Linked DNA regions of Oryctolagus cuniculus. The protein of the gene in region 1 interacts with the protein of each later gene in a biochemical or structural test. Links are inferred from orthologs where the notes say so. Each region holds a gene or a part of one and is shown on either strand. Other genes may lie near its edges.

What was found.
Region 2: of the proteins of histone H2A type 2-C (region 1) and MYSM1, one has a biochemical effect on the other in vitro, tested with the Homo sapiens proteins (2 studies listed by BioGRID). The link is inferred for Oryctolagus cuniculus from reciprocal best matches to the Homo sapiens genes H2AC20 and MYSM1.

Annotation. Positions count from the first base shown.
Region 1 is NC_091438.1:48,062,431-48,068,796, forward strand, and holds histone H2A type 2-C, read right to left. Parts: upstream 3,585-6,366; 5' UTR 3,522-3,584; coding exon 3,132-3,521; 3' UTR 3,086-3,131; downstream 1-3,085. Other genes in the region: histone H2A type 2-B, read left to right, coding at 2,579-2,971; histone H2B type 2-E, read left to right, coding at 3,856-4,236. UniProt on the Homo sapiens protein: Core component of nucleosome. Nucleosomes wrap and compact DNA into chromatin, limiting DNA accessibility to the cellular machineries which require DNA as a template.
Region 2 is NC_091438.1:114,362,319-114,370,054, reverse strand, and holds part of MYSM1 (deubiquitinase MYSM1), read right to left. Parts: intron 6,829-7,736; exon of another isoform or gene 6,691-6,828; coding exon of another isoform or gene 6,649-6,690; intron 5,565-6,648; coding exon 5,466-5,564; intron 2,388-5,465; coding exon 1,615-2,387; intron 1-1,614. UniProt on the Homo sapiens protein: Metalloprotease with deubiquitinase activity that plays important regulator roles in hematopoietic stem cell function, blood cell production and immune response.

The DNA of each region.
Region 1 (6,366 bases):
TGCCTTTCAAATATCAAATAGATAACATAAATCTTTTTTTTTTTTTTTAGAGAGAGAGAGAGAGAAAGGGTGGTCATCAGCCTCTCAAGCATGGCCTCTTAGGGTACCACCGTTGTGATGGGGTCCCTGTTACCTGGGTTTTATTCTCAGCCTGGTAGGGCTGAAAAGTTGACATTATTAGTAATTGCCTAGCTTCTTGGGGAGGAATCCACACTAATAGAATACTCAGGAAATAAATTACTGATTCAGAATGCAAATTCATTGACTTCTGGTGATTGATGTATCTTCCCATAACTGTCTCTCCCCGTTTCAGGCTCATGTTTTTATCTTGGAGTAGAATAAGCAGAAAGTTGTTCACTGAGCACAGACTCTGAGCTCTGCAGAGAGTTCACCCAGGCCTTGAGAAAAGGCTGTTACTGTGGGCATCGAGACCTCTTCTCAAGCAGCTCAAGCCTTTGTGGCTACAAGACACACACTCCGGACTGGACAAACAGCGTATTCCTCCTATAACTGCCTGCAAGACCCACACTTTCCTGCTAACATACTCATCTTTTCAAATGATATAATCAACTGGGTTTGACTTGTTTCAGTTATAGTCTACTATTGAGGGAACACCCTCAACACCTTTGACTGGACCTTGGTGGTCCCCAAATCTATGCCTGCATTCTTACCAGGGGTAATCTCCACAGATGGCTGGTACTGACTGATTTAACTCACATTTAACTCAGACCTCGCCAGATTCTCTCCATGTTCTGGAGATATTTCATCACAGACTTCTCCGTACTAGCCTCCATGACCTGTACACTCAATGCCCAACAGCACACACGCAACGCATGCTGGTTGAATAAAGGTGAGGATACCAAAGAGAGCTTCAGAAAAAGTCTTCAAGGCCAGAATTTAAGTGTGTCCTTTTGTCCAAAGCGTTCCACCTCCTGCCCTTATAGGCTCCTAAGGAAAGAATGAAAACAGAGTCGGGGGTGTAGAGCTCCCTGAGATGGGAGCAGGAGACAGAGGGAGTTTCAGGGGAGAAGCAGGGGCAGGTGGAGGGCGCCTGCCGGTCTGTGGAGCCTGACAGCCTGTGGAGCCTCATGGCCAAGTTCCAAGAGGGTGGTGAAGCAGATGAGGGAAGCAAGAAAAAATGGCCGAGGAAGTTACAGTAAAGACATGCTGTTGAGATGAAGGGAAGAGTAGAGTAGGTCCTAGATGTTGGTATAATTCAGAGCAAGAGGGAGGGGTTGTTTGCATGAGTTTGCTGTTTGGATAGGCGGCAGTTGAGTTTTTTGTTCTTTAGATTTATTTTTGTTAATTTGAAACACAGAATTACAGAGAGAGAAGTCTTCCATATGCTGGTTCACTCCCCCAAATAGCTGTAATTGCCAGAGCTGAGCTGACGCGAAGCCAGAAGCCAGGAGGAGCTTCTGGGTCTCCCACGTGGGTGCAGGGGCCCAAGGACTTGGGCCATCCTCTGCTGCTTTCCCAGGTGCATTAGTAGGGAGCTGATGGGCAGTGGAGCAGCCAGGACTTGAACTGCCGCCCGTTTGGGATGACGGCGCTGCTTGCAGGCCGCGGCTTTAACGCGCCAGGCCACAGCGTCAGCCTCATGAAGTTGAGTCGGAGGTGCTTGCTGGGACCAACAGGGCGAAGCATCCATGAAGCAGACAGAAGGGACTGAGCATTTGAAACAAACTAGTGCGTTAGTTGAAACGGGGAAAATGTCGGGAAGAGTGGCCTGGGGATAGGCAGAGCAGAGTCAAAGCAGAATCGCGTTTTTAGAGATGGCAGAGGAATAGGCCCAGGACAAGCGAAGCCAGAGAGGTAAGAAACGTGTGTGTGTGTGTGTGTGTGTGTGTGTGTGTGGTGGGTGGGTGGGGCACATGTTGAACGCCTAGGGGACGAATTCTAAGGCGGCCTAGGACGCCTCCTGGAGGTCACGAGCAGGACGGCAGACCAATTCTGCCCGTTAGCCAAACCCGATTCCGAGGGGCACAGGTGGGTGGCGAGGGGCACAGGTGGGTGGCGGAGGGAGGGCGAAGCCACTCTGAGGCCAGCGGCTGCACTGAGCTGACAGGAGACAGCCGTAATAATGTTTACCGAGAGAGTCTGGCTGTGACGCGGCAGGAAGGGCGGGCCTCGGTCATTAGGCCTCAGGGGACACTCGGTTTCACAACCCGGTACCTTGCGAGGGAGGGCTTTCCCTCTGAGAGTCCTTTGGGGGTCTTTTATGGAGTTCCATTACCCTAATGTGGAGTAAAAGAAACCCCACATGTTGCCACTCAGTGAAAAAGAAAGCATTTAAAAAAAAAAAAACACCTTCTCTCTTTAAAAATCCTGGCATGCAAATAAGGGGCTTTAATGTGGCTCTCAGCGATTGGTAGGTAGATACAAAAGCCGTCATTTCCTCGCAGCCGCAGGATGCAAACCGAAAGGCCGAGTGCCGCTTTCCTATTGGCTGCCGCTCTCGGCCAATAAAACTGCCTCCCTTCACCCCTCCCGGTAGCTCTTATAAATTACATCAAATTGCCTATCCTTTCCATAGCCTCTCCTAGAAAAACAAGCTGAAATCAGGTTTTTAGCCGTCATGTCTGGACGCGGAAAGCAAGGCGGCAAGGCGCGCGCCAAGGCCAAGTCGCGGTCATCGCGCGCCGGGCTGCAGTTCCCCGTGGGCCGGGTGCACCGGCTGCTGCGCAAGGGCAACTACGCCGAGCGCGTCGGCGCCGGCGCCCCGGTGTACCTGGCGGCCGTGCTCGAGTACCTGACGGCCGAGATCCTGGAGCTGGCGGGCAACGCGGCGCGCGACAACAAGAAGACGCGCATCATCCCGCGCCACCTGCAGCTGGCCGTGAGAAATGACGAGGAGCTCAACAAGTTACTCGGGGGTGTCACCATCGCGCAGGGCGGCGTGCTGCCCAACATCCAGGCCGTGCTGCTGCCCAAGAAGACGGAGAGCCACAAGCCTGGCAAGAGCAAGTGATTGATTAGGCGTGACACCACTCCCGTCCACCCAAAAGGCTCTTTTAAGAGCCACCACAGTGTCAAGCGGAGGGCTGATAACAAGCAGCGCGTTAGCTCTTTCTTTGACAACTTGGGTGGCTCTAAAAAGAGCCTTTGGTCTTTGGTTCAGGTCGTCAAATTTATTTGCTTTTGGCTTTGTGGCTTTCGGTTTTCTTTGGCAGCAGCACAGCCTGGATGTTGGGCAGCACGCCGCCCTGCGCGATCGTCACCTTGCCCAGCAGCTTGTTGAGCTCCTCGTCGTTGCGGATGGCCAGCTGCAGGTGGCGCGGGATGATGCGCGTCTTCTTGTTGTCGCGCGCCGCGTTGCCCGCCAGCTCCAGGATCTCGGCCGTCAGGTACTCGAGCACGGCCGCCATGTAGACGGGCGCGCCGGCGCCGACGCGCTCGGCGTAGTTGCCCTTGCGCAGCAGCCGGTGCACCCGGCCCACGGGGAACTGCAGCCCGGCGCGCGACGACCGCGACTTGGCCTTGGCGCGCGCCTTGCCTCCTTGCTTGCCACGACCAGACATAGTTAAGAAAAAGAAACCAAACCCAGCTAGGGCGCAGAACCTCGCAACAAAACAAGATTGAAAGGAACCCACGAAGAAAGCCTTTATAAGCTTCCCTGGGGGTGGGGTCAGGAACGAGCTTTTCATTGGTCCTAATATGGCTTCAGAAACAGCCAATAAAGTCGAGCTGTTGTCATTACGCAGGCTTTTACCGAAAACGCAACTTTCCTGCACGGACCAATGGAAACGAAAGCCATTTTGATTCCTAATTTGCATAAGATGGTTATAAGAGGATCAGGCCCGCCCATCCTCTTATTCCTTTTCCCCGCTGTATCGCGTTGGTGTGGTGTTTACCATGCCCGAGCCAGCCAAGTCCGCGCCCGCGCCCAAGAAGGGCTCCAAGAAAGCTGTCACCAAGGCGCAGAAGAAAGACGGCAAGAAGCGCAAGCGCAGCCGCAAGGAGAGCTACTCCATCTACGTGTACAAGGTGCTCAAGCAAGTGCACCCCGACACCGGCATCTCGTCCAAGGCCATGGGCATCATGAACTCGTTCGTCAACGACATCTTCGAGCGCATCGCCGGCGAGGCGTCGCGCCTGGCGCACTACAACAAGCGCTCGACCATCACGTCCCGGGAGATCCAGACGGCCGTGCGCCTGCTTCTGCCCGGCGAGCTGGCCAAGCACGCCGTGTCCGAGGGCACCAAGGCTGTCACCAAGTACACCAGCTCCAAGTGAGGCCCTGCCGTGCCGCTAACCCACAAAGGCTCTTTTCAGAGCCACCCATCTGATCGGGAAAGAGCCGTGTTCACATAACGTCCCCCCTTAGTCCCTTCGCACAAGTAAGTTACTGCAGCCCAGACGTAGTGGGGGTGGAGTACTTGGCATTCTCTAAGACGTTCCGACCCCGAGGTTCCCGGCGCGTGATTGGACTTGCGTTGAGTGCCAAGTGCGTCTTCACTCCTAACAGCGGCGATGGCCCGCCCCTACCCCTCTGCGTTGCGGCAGTGGCCGGGCGGCTTTGTTACACACGCTGGGCCGTCTTAAACTCGAGTGGCTGATTGCAGCTATTGGTTTAGGAAGACTGCAGGACACAAGTAGGCGCGTCCGGCGGCCGCTGTGTACAGCAGCAGCTTAGCACCGGAAGCGGCGGGGTGGCCAGCTCGGCGCGGGGAGGGCTCGGCCTGCGGGCCTGCGGGCCTGCGGGTGACCGGTGCTGTGCTCTGGGGCGGAGCCCGCGCCGCTGAGGGTCAGACTTTTCCTGATTGGGCGGCATGAATATTCAAAATTCGCGCCACTCGAGAATTCTTAAAGACTTTGTTTTCCGCCTCTGACGTTGTAGCTTGGAGAGTCCTAGGATTCCTTAAGTCCGTAAATGATTTTTGCATTTAATGCTCTGTGCTGGGAAGCCTGCCCCAGGTCACTGCAAGACACGGGTGGTTTAGCTCGGGGATTAAGAACCGCTGCCAGCGGCATCCGCTCAGGAGCCTGCCCTTTGGCCCTGTCTGTTGTGTGTTTTCATCTTCGTCCACGCAGCTGGCTGAAATTCGCTGGCTCATTTGCTTTCTCGTTAATGGTCTTTCTTCAAACCGGGACAAAGGCCCTGCTGGCCTGCTTTTCCTCCGTATCTTCAGCGCCCATCAGTGCCTGGCACGTAGCGGACACAAACGGCTTGAACCGATATCGACGGATTCGTTTTTCTATCCCGCCAATTTCGTAATCGCTTCCGTGGGTGGGGGGTGGGCGCTGTTTATTTCCATCAGATGTGAAGATACGATGAAGATGGAAATGTTTTTGTAGCTCCTTGACCAAATATGTCGTTAATCACCTCGGTGCAACTGCTTTGGGGCGGGTGAGGGGTGGGGGGAGGCCTGGTGCCAAGATTTTTTTTTTTTTTTGCATCGGGAGGAGGCGGCAGTAGCGGGTCTTCCCCGCAGGCTCCCCGCTTTAGGGTGACCCGTTTTAGGTTTCCGTTCAATTGAGAGCAGTGGTCAGCGAGAAGAGCCTTCACCCTCTGTTCACACTGGGAGGAGCTTTCAGTTCATCCCCACCAACCCGGCTGCTTTTTCAGGAGGCCCTAACAAGCAGAGCAGACAGAGCTGCAATATCCCTCACACAGCGAGCGCTGCTTTTGTCTTCTGCGATGTGATCACAGGTGTATTTTGGTCGTATCTGATGCAATTACGCAATACCGAATCTTCCTGTCCGAGCCTTGATGGTGCCAGGGGAGGTCCTGAGTGCTCAGTAACTGGACTCTGCTCAGGGCTCCTGGAGTTGATTGCAAGGGTTTTGTGAACCCAGATGTGCTCCACATAGCAAATCATAGGCTGAGATCTTGAGCCTGCTGCGCGTGTGCTTTCAAATCTGTGTAGATGCTGTTATTAATAAAGTGCCCAACTCATTTTAAGGCTTTGCTATATCCTTTTATCGGCCATATATGAAGTGAAATTGACAGGGACAGTCACCACTGGGTACATGTGTGGAAAGGGTGGAGAAGGAATATTTAGAAGCCGTCAGCTAAACTTTTACCCCAGATGGGCAATGGGGCTGAACCAGGCTGTCACAAGGCTTTCCGCAGTCCTTGCAAAATACGTGAGCATGAAGAAGAAGCACTACAAACAACGTGGAAGACATACAGTCCTTAACCAAGGTGGGCTAACACCGACAGACACTTAACATGTGTTCCCGATTCATGCACAACATTCTCTCATTCTCACAAGAGCCTCCTAAAGTAGGTAGACTTGTCATCTCCCACTGGACAGGGAGGGAAACTGAGCCACAGAGCGGCCTTTCCTCAGAAACTCACCAGAGAAAAAGCTCCTTGTTTAGTGCTAAAAGGATGTAAGAAAGCAGGGCTGCTCTCTGAGA
Region 2 (7,736 bases), about 66 Mb from region 1:
TCCCGGTTGCCCCTCTTCCAGGCCAGCTCTCTGCTGTGGCCCGGGAAGGCAGTGGAGGATGGCCCAAGTCCTTGGGCCCTGCACCCGCATGGGAGACCAGGAGAAGCACCTGGCTCCTGGCTTCGGATCAGCACGGTGCTCCAGCTGTAGTGTGCCAGCCGTGGCGGCCATTGGAGGGTGAACCAACGGCAAAGGAAGACCTTTCTCTCTGTCTCTCTCTCTCACTGTCCACTCTGGCTAACAAAACAAAACAAAACAAACAAACAAAAAAACATTTATTTTCAGCCTTCACACCATTTTCCTAAATCATCATGTTTAAATAGCAGTATCTATTGGTTTCATCAACTAAAACAAATAGTTTAGGAAACTACTGCCATATAATTTGCAGTATCTATGCAAATTATTCTGCCTTACTTGATTATAGTCAAGACTTGAAATGAAGTCTTTCAGGAGTCAGTGGCTGGTTAAGTCCCTTTCACTATGTCAGAGGACTGCTGTGAGGCCTATACAGCAAATAAGAACAGAGAGCAAGTCTTTCTTTAAGCAGCTAAGTACCATGTAAATGACAGTTGTTCCTTGTCAGCATTCTTTACTATGCTGCCTCCTTACCCAGAAGTTGTTTTGGCATGTCAAGCATCTGCAAGATAACCATGTATCAAGAACAAGAACAAAAATCCTCCTTTTAGAATACTGCTACCTTTAAAAACCTAATGACTTAATATTATGTGGGCAAAATGAAGGCTATTGATTTGGCACATTATTAAGTTTCCTTTATGTAACCTTCCAAAGCTATAGCAGAAAGTTACTGCAAAGGAGAGGAAGACAGAACAAAAGAGAAAAACAAGGGACAAAGCAGAATCCCTACTCAAGGAACTGGGAAGCCCTCTCTAAAAATGGCCCTATATGATTCAACAGTTCATGAACTAGTAGTAGCAATTATGAGTGTTTAATGATGGCTTAATTAAGATGTCAAGATTACTTCAAATTACTTTTATCAGGTTAACGAGGTAAGAAGTTTTTTGGTTTGCTCCCTAGGCCCACTAAATAGTTCAAGTAAAATGTATTAACAATTTAGAGGGTAAATTTCACATATTAGAAAATTCCTGGACCTTGATGAAGCTGGATGAAGAAATTATTAGCATATTCCACCACAAGTTTAAAGCTGAAGGCATTTAAGACAGCTGTTCAGGTGGAGTTTCTGCAAAGAGGCCACATTTAATGATACCATCCTCTGTCACCAAATCTTTCCTTCTTTGCACTTAAAGTACATGATAAATCCCAAAAAGAAAAATTCTCTCCTATTCCCAGTACAGTAGTGTTCTACATCTGCATTATTTCTGTCCCAAGGAATTGCTTCTTGAAGCAGTTATTCATCCCTTTTCTTTCCAAGCACAAACACTCAGATGAACAGACAGATGGTATTGTGACAGCTATACATGACCAAAGCTTTCAAAAAAGTTTCACTGTGAGAAAGTTAAATTTTTCCTACTGAAATGCTGTTATGTGAAAACACTCTTATTGCCACCAAAATTCTAAATTCTGCATAGGCCTAACTAAAACACTTAAAGAGTATCAGGTTTTTAAAAAGGCATCTAAAATGTAATTTTTTCTTACCACTGATCCAAAATGTAATTTCTAATTTTCAAATAGCGTTCTGGTGTTTTAGCTTGACGCCCCTCAAAAAACTCAGGAATTGCTTGTTTTTCTTCTTCTTGAATGGTATTTCTATCTATTTCTACTTCTTGTTCTGGTGGCTTAAGCTCTTCTTCCTCGTGGCTTTCTTCCACAACATGACAAGAAGAATGAAAAAGCATTTCATTGTCACTCAAATCTTTATTTTCACAAGTCTCAAGAGAAGGCCACTGACTCGCATCATCTATCAGTCCATTTCCATCATGCCCGTTATAGTTCTGAATTGGTTTATTACATTTCTCATCTTTTAATTCAACTGATTTTTTGTCATTGTTGCTCGGTTTGTCAGTCTGTAATGTAATCTGTGAGCCTGAAAGTGTTTCCATTTCATCTTGCTTTAGATTCTTAAGATATTCCCCGGAAGATTTAAAAAAGGGGTCTTCCTGGCTATCAGATGCAATGCATTCTCCTTGATTGGTTTCATGCATACTACTACTACTAGGAATAATGTCTAATAAGAGACCACTGTTAGAATTCTTCTGGGGTGCTTCAGAAGTGAATTCATCCACCTCGTCTGTGATGTCTACTTCTTCATCATCAGACAATTTTTCAATTTTTACAGCATTCAAGTTGGGATCAGCATGTCCCCTTAAACATGATGGTATCCATGCCTCTGTCCCTTTGTCTTCACTTTTAACTTGAAGATCACTGCTACTTTTCTGATTTGGTGTTTCTTTCTCCGGACCCCATTTTACCTTATTAAAAAAAATCAGAATAAAACCTCCATAATATTAAGATTTTAAAATTTAATCACTGACACAATAAATACAATAATATACAATAATATAATTCAAGTGAGTGCATGTTAATGATACATTATACTTTTATTCTGCTTCTCTTGGATTTATAACTGTAGTTTTAATGTAAAAGATCACATTTTAAATTTCCTTAGATATATGATTAATTCATAATGTGGTGATTTCTATTAATCAAATAACCATGGTCTATATAGAACTACCATTTATTTGTCAATATTAAGTTTAAAATACGTGTCTGGCTTAGACCAATCACAATCAACCTGTAACTGTCATACTAAGAAGTTCTACAAGATATTAAAATATTTATAAAAGCTCTTTTCTTAAATGTCTAATATCTCAGCTGACTGTTTCTTTAAAGCTTTTTCTTAAAAGAATCTATCACATTTATCTCACTTATCCTACTTAGTAAATTAAAACCATCTGTCATTTATTTTATTTATTTTTTTTTTGACAGGCAGGGTGGACAGTGAGAGAGAGAGAGAGAGAGAGAGAGAGAGAGAAAGGTCTTCCTTTTCCATTGGTTCACCCCACAATGGCCGCTGCGGCCGGCGCACTGCGCTGATCCGAAGCCAGGAGCCAGGTGCTTCTCCTGTTGTTCTCCCATGCCGGTGCAGTGCCCAAGGACTTGGGCCATCCTCCACTGCACTCCCGGGCCACAGCAGAGAGCTGGACTGGAAGAGGGACAACCGGGACAGAATCTGGTGCCCCAACCGGAACTGGAACCCAGTGTGCTGACACCACAGGTGGAGGTTAGCCTATTGAGCCAAGGTGCCGGCCTATCTTTCATTTAGATACAGTAACAAAAAAACAGTTTTTTGTACGTTCATTTAATGCAGCTCCAATATTATAGCACTTACATTTTAAGTCATGCAATTACTTTCCATATCAGCTATACAGACATAGCTATCTGATAATACAACACAAGAATGATAATAAAAGTCAATGAGTAGGTACTGGCACTGTGGTGTAGCAGGTAAAGCTGCCATCTGCAACACAGCATATCCCACAGCACGCAGGTTCGAGTGCCGGCTGCTCTACTTCCGATCCAGCAATTTGTGAATGGTCTAGGAAAAGCAGCAGCAGATGACCCAAGTGTTTGGGCCCCTGCTACCCATGTGAGAGACCTGGATGTAGATCCTGGCTCCTGGCTTTGGCCTGGCCCAGCTCTGGCAGTTGCAGCCATCTGGGGAGTGAACCAGCAGATGGAAGATCTCTCTCACTCTCTCTCTATAACTCTTAATAAGTAAAAAAATCTTAAAAAAAAAAAAAAGGCAATGATTAAATATGACTTGAAATAAAAAATCCTTACATAGAAAGTTTTTGAAAAATTTTGTAAATGATTGCTATACCCAAGGGATATAACAACTTTCAGAAAGACTATTTCTAGACCTAATATCACGTCAGCATTCTAGGATTAAATATTTGGTGTTAATTGGCTTACTACGTAGAAAAAAAAAAAGAATAGCAGGAAGGAAAACAAGATTTGGACATACAAGCTGAAATATTCTCTAGCAACCTTGCTATTTATTTGGTCCCGTTTTTAATCTTAAAAATTCAGATATTTTGGATTAGATTTTATAACATACTAATCATTCTAATATTGAAATGTATCTTTCTACCACAGTCTTTCAGTAAAACTGACACTCCAAGATAAACTAAATATTGCAGTTTGAAAAGCTTGCAGGTAGAATAACCACCACATTAAGCTTTATTCTTCTTAATACCTCAACCTTAGCAAGCTGCCCCAACAGTACTTTTGTTTAAGAGGAAGTGGATGATTTATGTACAACGAATATATTCTATCACTTTCTGCCCATGCCAGTTAACACTAAGAGAAATCTTGTATACAGGGTACAGTCTACTAGCCACACTGAAAGAAAACATCAAATTTCACTTATAATATTTTCAAATTTTATATAATTATGTTCTTAGAGCAGAATATATTTAAAAATTCCAACTATCAAAATCACATAGTTGGGGCTGGTGGTACGATACATGGGGTAAAGCTACCTCCTGCAACGCTGGACTCCCATTTGGGCGCGAGTTTGTGTCCCAGCTGCTTTACTTTCAATCCAGCTCCCTGCTACTGGCCTGTGAAAAGCAGCAGAAGATGACTCAAGTGTTTGGGTCGCTGCCATCCAGGTTGGAAACCTGAAAGAAGCTCCTAGCTCCTATCTTCAGCCTGGCCTAGCCCTGGCGGTTGCGGCCAGCTGGGGAGTTTGACAGTGGATGGAAGACCTCTCGTAAGTCTTTTTTTTTCAACTTCTATTTAATAAATATAAATTTCCAAAGTACAACTTCTGAATTATAGCAGCTTTTCCCTCCAACCTCCCTTCCACCTGCAACCATCCACTTCCTGTCCCATCCCATTCTTCATCAAAATTCATTTTCAATTACCTTTATACATAAGATCAACTTAGTATATACTAAGTAAAGATTTCAACAGACTGCACCCACACAGACACACCAAGTATAGAGTACTGTTTGAGTAGTAGTTTTACCATTAATTCACATAGTACAGCACATTAAGGACAGAGATCCTACATGGGGAGTAGGTGCACAGTGACTCCCGTTGTTGATTTAACAATTGACACTCTTATTTATGATGTCAGTAATCACCCAAGGCTCTTGTCATCAACCGCATGGTTGATACTGAAAAAATAAGAAACTAGAAAAAACTGCACTTTTGTGAATCCTGTAATTTATTAAAATTTTCAATTTTTCAACACTATAAGAATTTCATTGTTACTTAACAGACTTCAAAAATCATGTTAGCATTAATGTTCCCAAAGTTCTAATTCTATTTTGCTGTATGACATTAATAACACTATTAATAAAGACATGCTCTAAAGTTTAAATAAATATTCATATAGTAGTTTACGGATATCAAACCCTTTCCGTATAAAAACTTTAAACAATAAAACTTTAATGCCTAAATTAAAGAAACATTTCTGCTTATTAATTTGCTCATTCTAAATGTATCATTAATAACAAGGATATTTATATTCTGCTTACCTTATTTTTAAAGTATTGTCTGGCATAACTCTTCACTTGTAAAACAGTGCGGCTTCCAATTAACTTTGCAATTTTGGTCCACCTTCGGCCAAATTTAGTCTATGTTATCAAAATGGAAGAAAATTACCTTTGATTAACTAATATAAGCAATTGCCACATTTAAAAACAATCAACTGAAATAATAATCCATCTTTATTTTCTGAAGTACAAATGAGGACTCCTACAATGTTCTTAAAATCAAAGTCCACATTCTTCTTTTGCAAACTTAAACTTCTGAAAATCAACTGAAGAAATTTAGAAATTCGTTTTATTATATAGCTATTCAAATAAAGATCCATCACTCTACTACCTAACTATGAATTTATATTGCATATTATGATGTTTTAAATTAAAGGTAACATCTTAAAAGATCTAAGCTACTAAAGGGAGGCAGGTTATGTTTTTCCAATTACAGGATCAACTAAACGTCCTCTGCACTAATTTCAAAGTAATATCCTACCCATATCCATTATGTGCCCCATAGCAATTAGCTTTATATGCTATGCATGTATCACAGACTATATATCCACATTTATATCTATATCACTCTATACAGGTGAACTGACTTGTGAGATCAAATCATAAAAGAAGCAGACATACCACCAACACCTCTCTATACCTCTCTAATGTCAGAGGCTGTGCACCACCTAAACTGAAGCTATAGTGAGAAAATACTGAGAACAGAGAGCTAGATAAAGCGCCCATGTTATTCTGAAGTATACAAAGGAACACACAGAATTTTAGAAAGGGCTAACTATACAAAACCTCTACAAAATCCCTAATACATACTACTCTGCCTCCCATGACAGGTCAATAACTCTTTAATTTTAATTTTTTGGAATTTTGAAAACTGTGAAAAACAAAAATGTAGTCACAACTCAGGGAAGCTGACCCTAGAGTCAGACTTACAAGTCAGGTAATCAATCATGCATGATGGTAGCAAATTATCTTTGAAGATCAAAGCCAAATGATAAACCATAATTTATATGCTTATTTCTGAAATTTACCAGAAAATCTAACATATAAATAATTTCTTAAAACTCAAAGTACTTCTGTGAAAATTATTAGTAAGTATAAATTATTTAAGATTTCTCTTAAGCAACATCTAGCTGAGATCAAATTACTGAAGAATTATTATTTTTACTGGGGGATGAAGACAAACAGGTAACTTGGTAGCATAGAGCATTTCTGGAGACAGAAGAGATCTGAATAAAGAGTGATCAATTTATCAGCGCGGTGTGCCGGCTGCGGCGGCCATTGGAGGATGAACCAACGGCAAAGGAAGACCTTTCTCTCTGTCTCTCTCTCTCACTGTCCACTCTGCCTGTCAAAAAAAGAAAAAGAAAAAAAAGAGTGATCAATTTAGATACTAGGGGCTTGGGCACTAAAAAAATTAGGGCAGAGACTTTAAAAAGAGGAGCAAAGAAAATACTGGCTAATTTCAAAATCGAGCAAAGGGATAGTCCTATGCCCAAGAAAGGAAGGAAACATCTTCCCCCATCAGCCAGAATCATGTAATTTTCTCTTCCAAGCCTATAAACAAATAGCAATATGCTTTAGAATGCTGGAGATATAACCAATAATTCCATGTTTTTTACGTAAAAAAATTCTAAGTTTAAATATTTCTTAATGTATAAGGCAACTTTCTACAAGTCTCTATATAAATAAATACACATTTGTTTAAAAATGGAGAAAATATCTCTAGAAGGTCACACACAGAAGAGATGACAATGGCTACCTCAAACAAGAACTGCTGACTGAGATGAGTGAGACTTAACACTCTCTAACTGTAGGTACCTTTTGAATTCTGAACCTTGCAAATGTAGTCTCAATAACTACCACCAATGGCAACAACAGCAGTCTCAAAATGGAACTTAAATTCACAACCTATTTGCATACATACTGTAAGAAAATGTCTAGTGGCCCATTTTCAACACAGAATGGAAAATTACTATTAGCTGACTTGCTGATGTAGCAAAACAAACTGGGCAAACAGGATGTTATGGAGTAGGCAACTCAGGAGAGGAAATTAAAGTACAGAGAAGGAAGGATGAAGGTAACTTTGTAAGTTAGGTGACATCTGGAAAGATTGTACACCCCACAGTACTCAGCCAATGTGGAACAGGAGGGACCTCCATCGTAGGATACAAATTGCTTGCTCTAACTTCTCCAGGTGTGCCTGCTCTTCAGACACCTGATCTTGCAAGACGGATAATATAATACAATCTTATT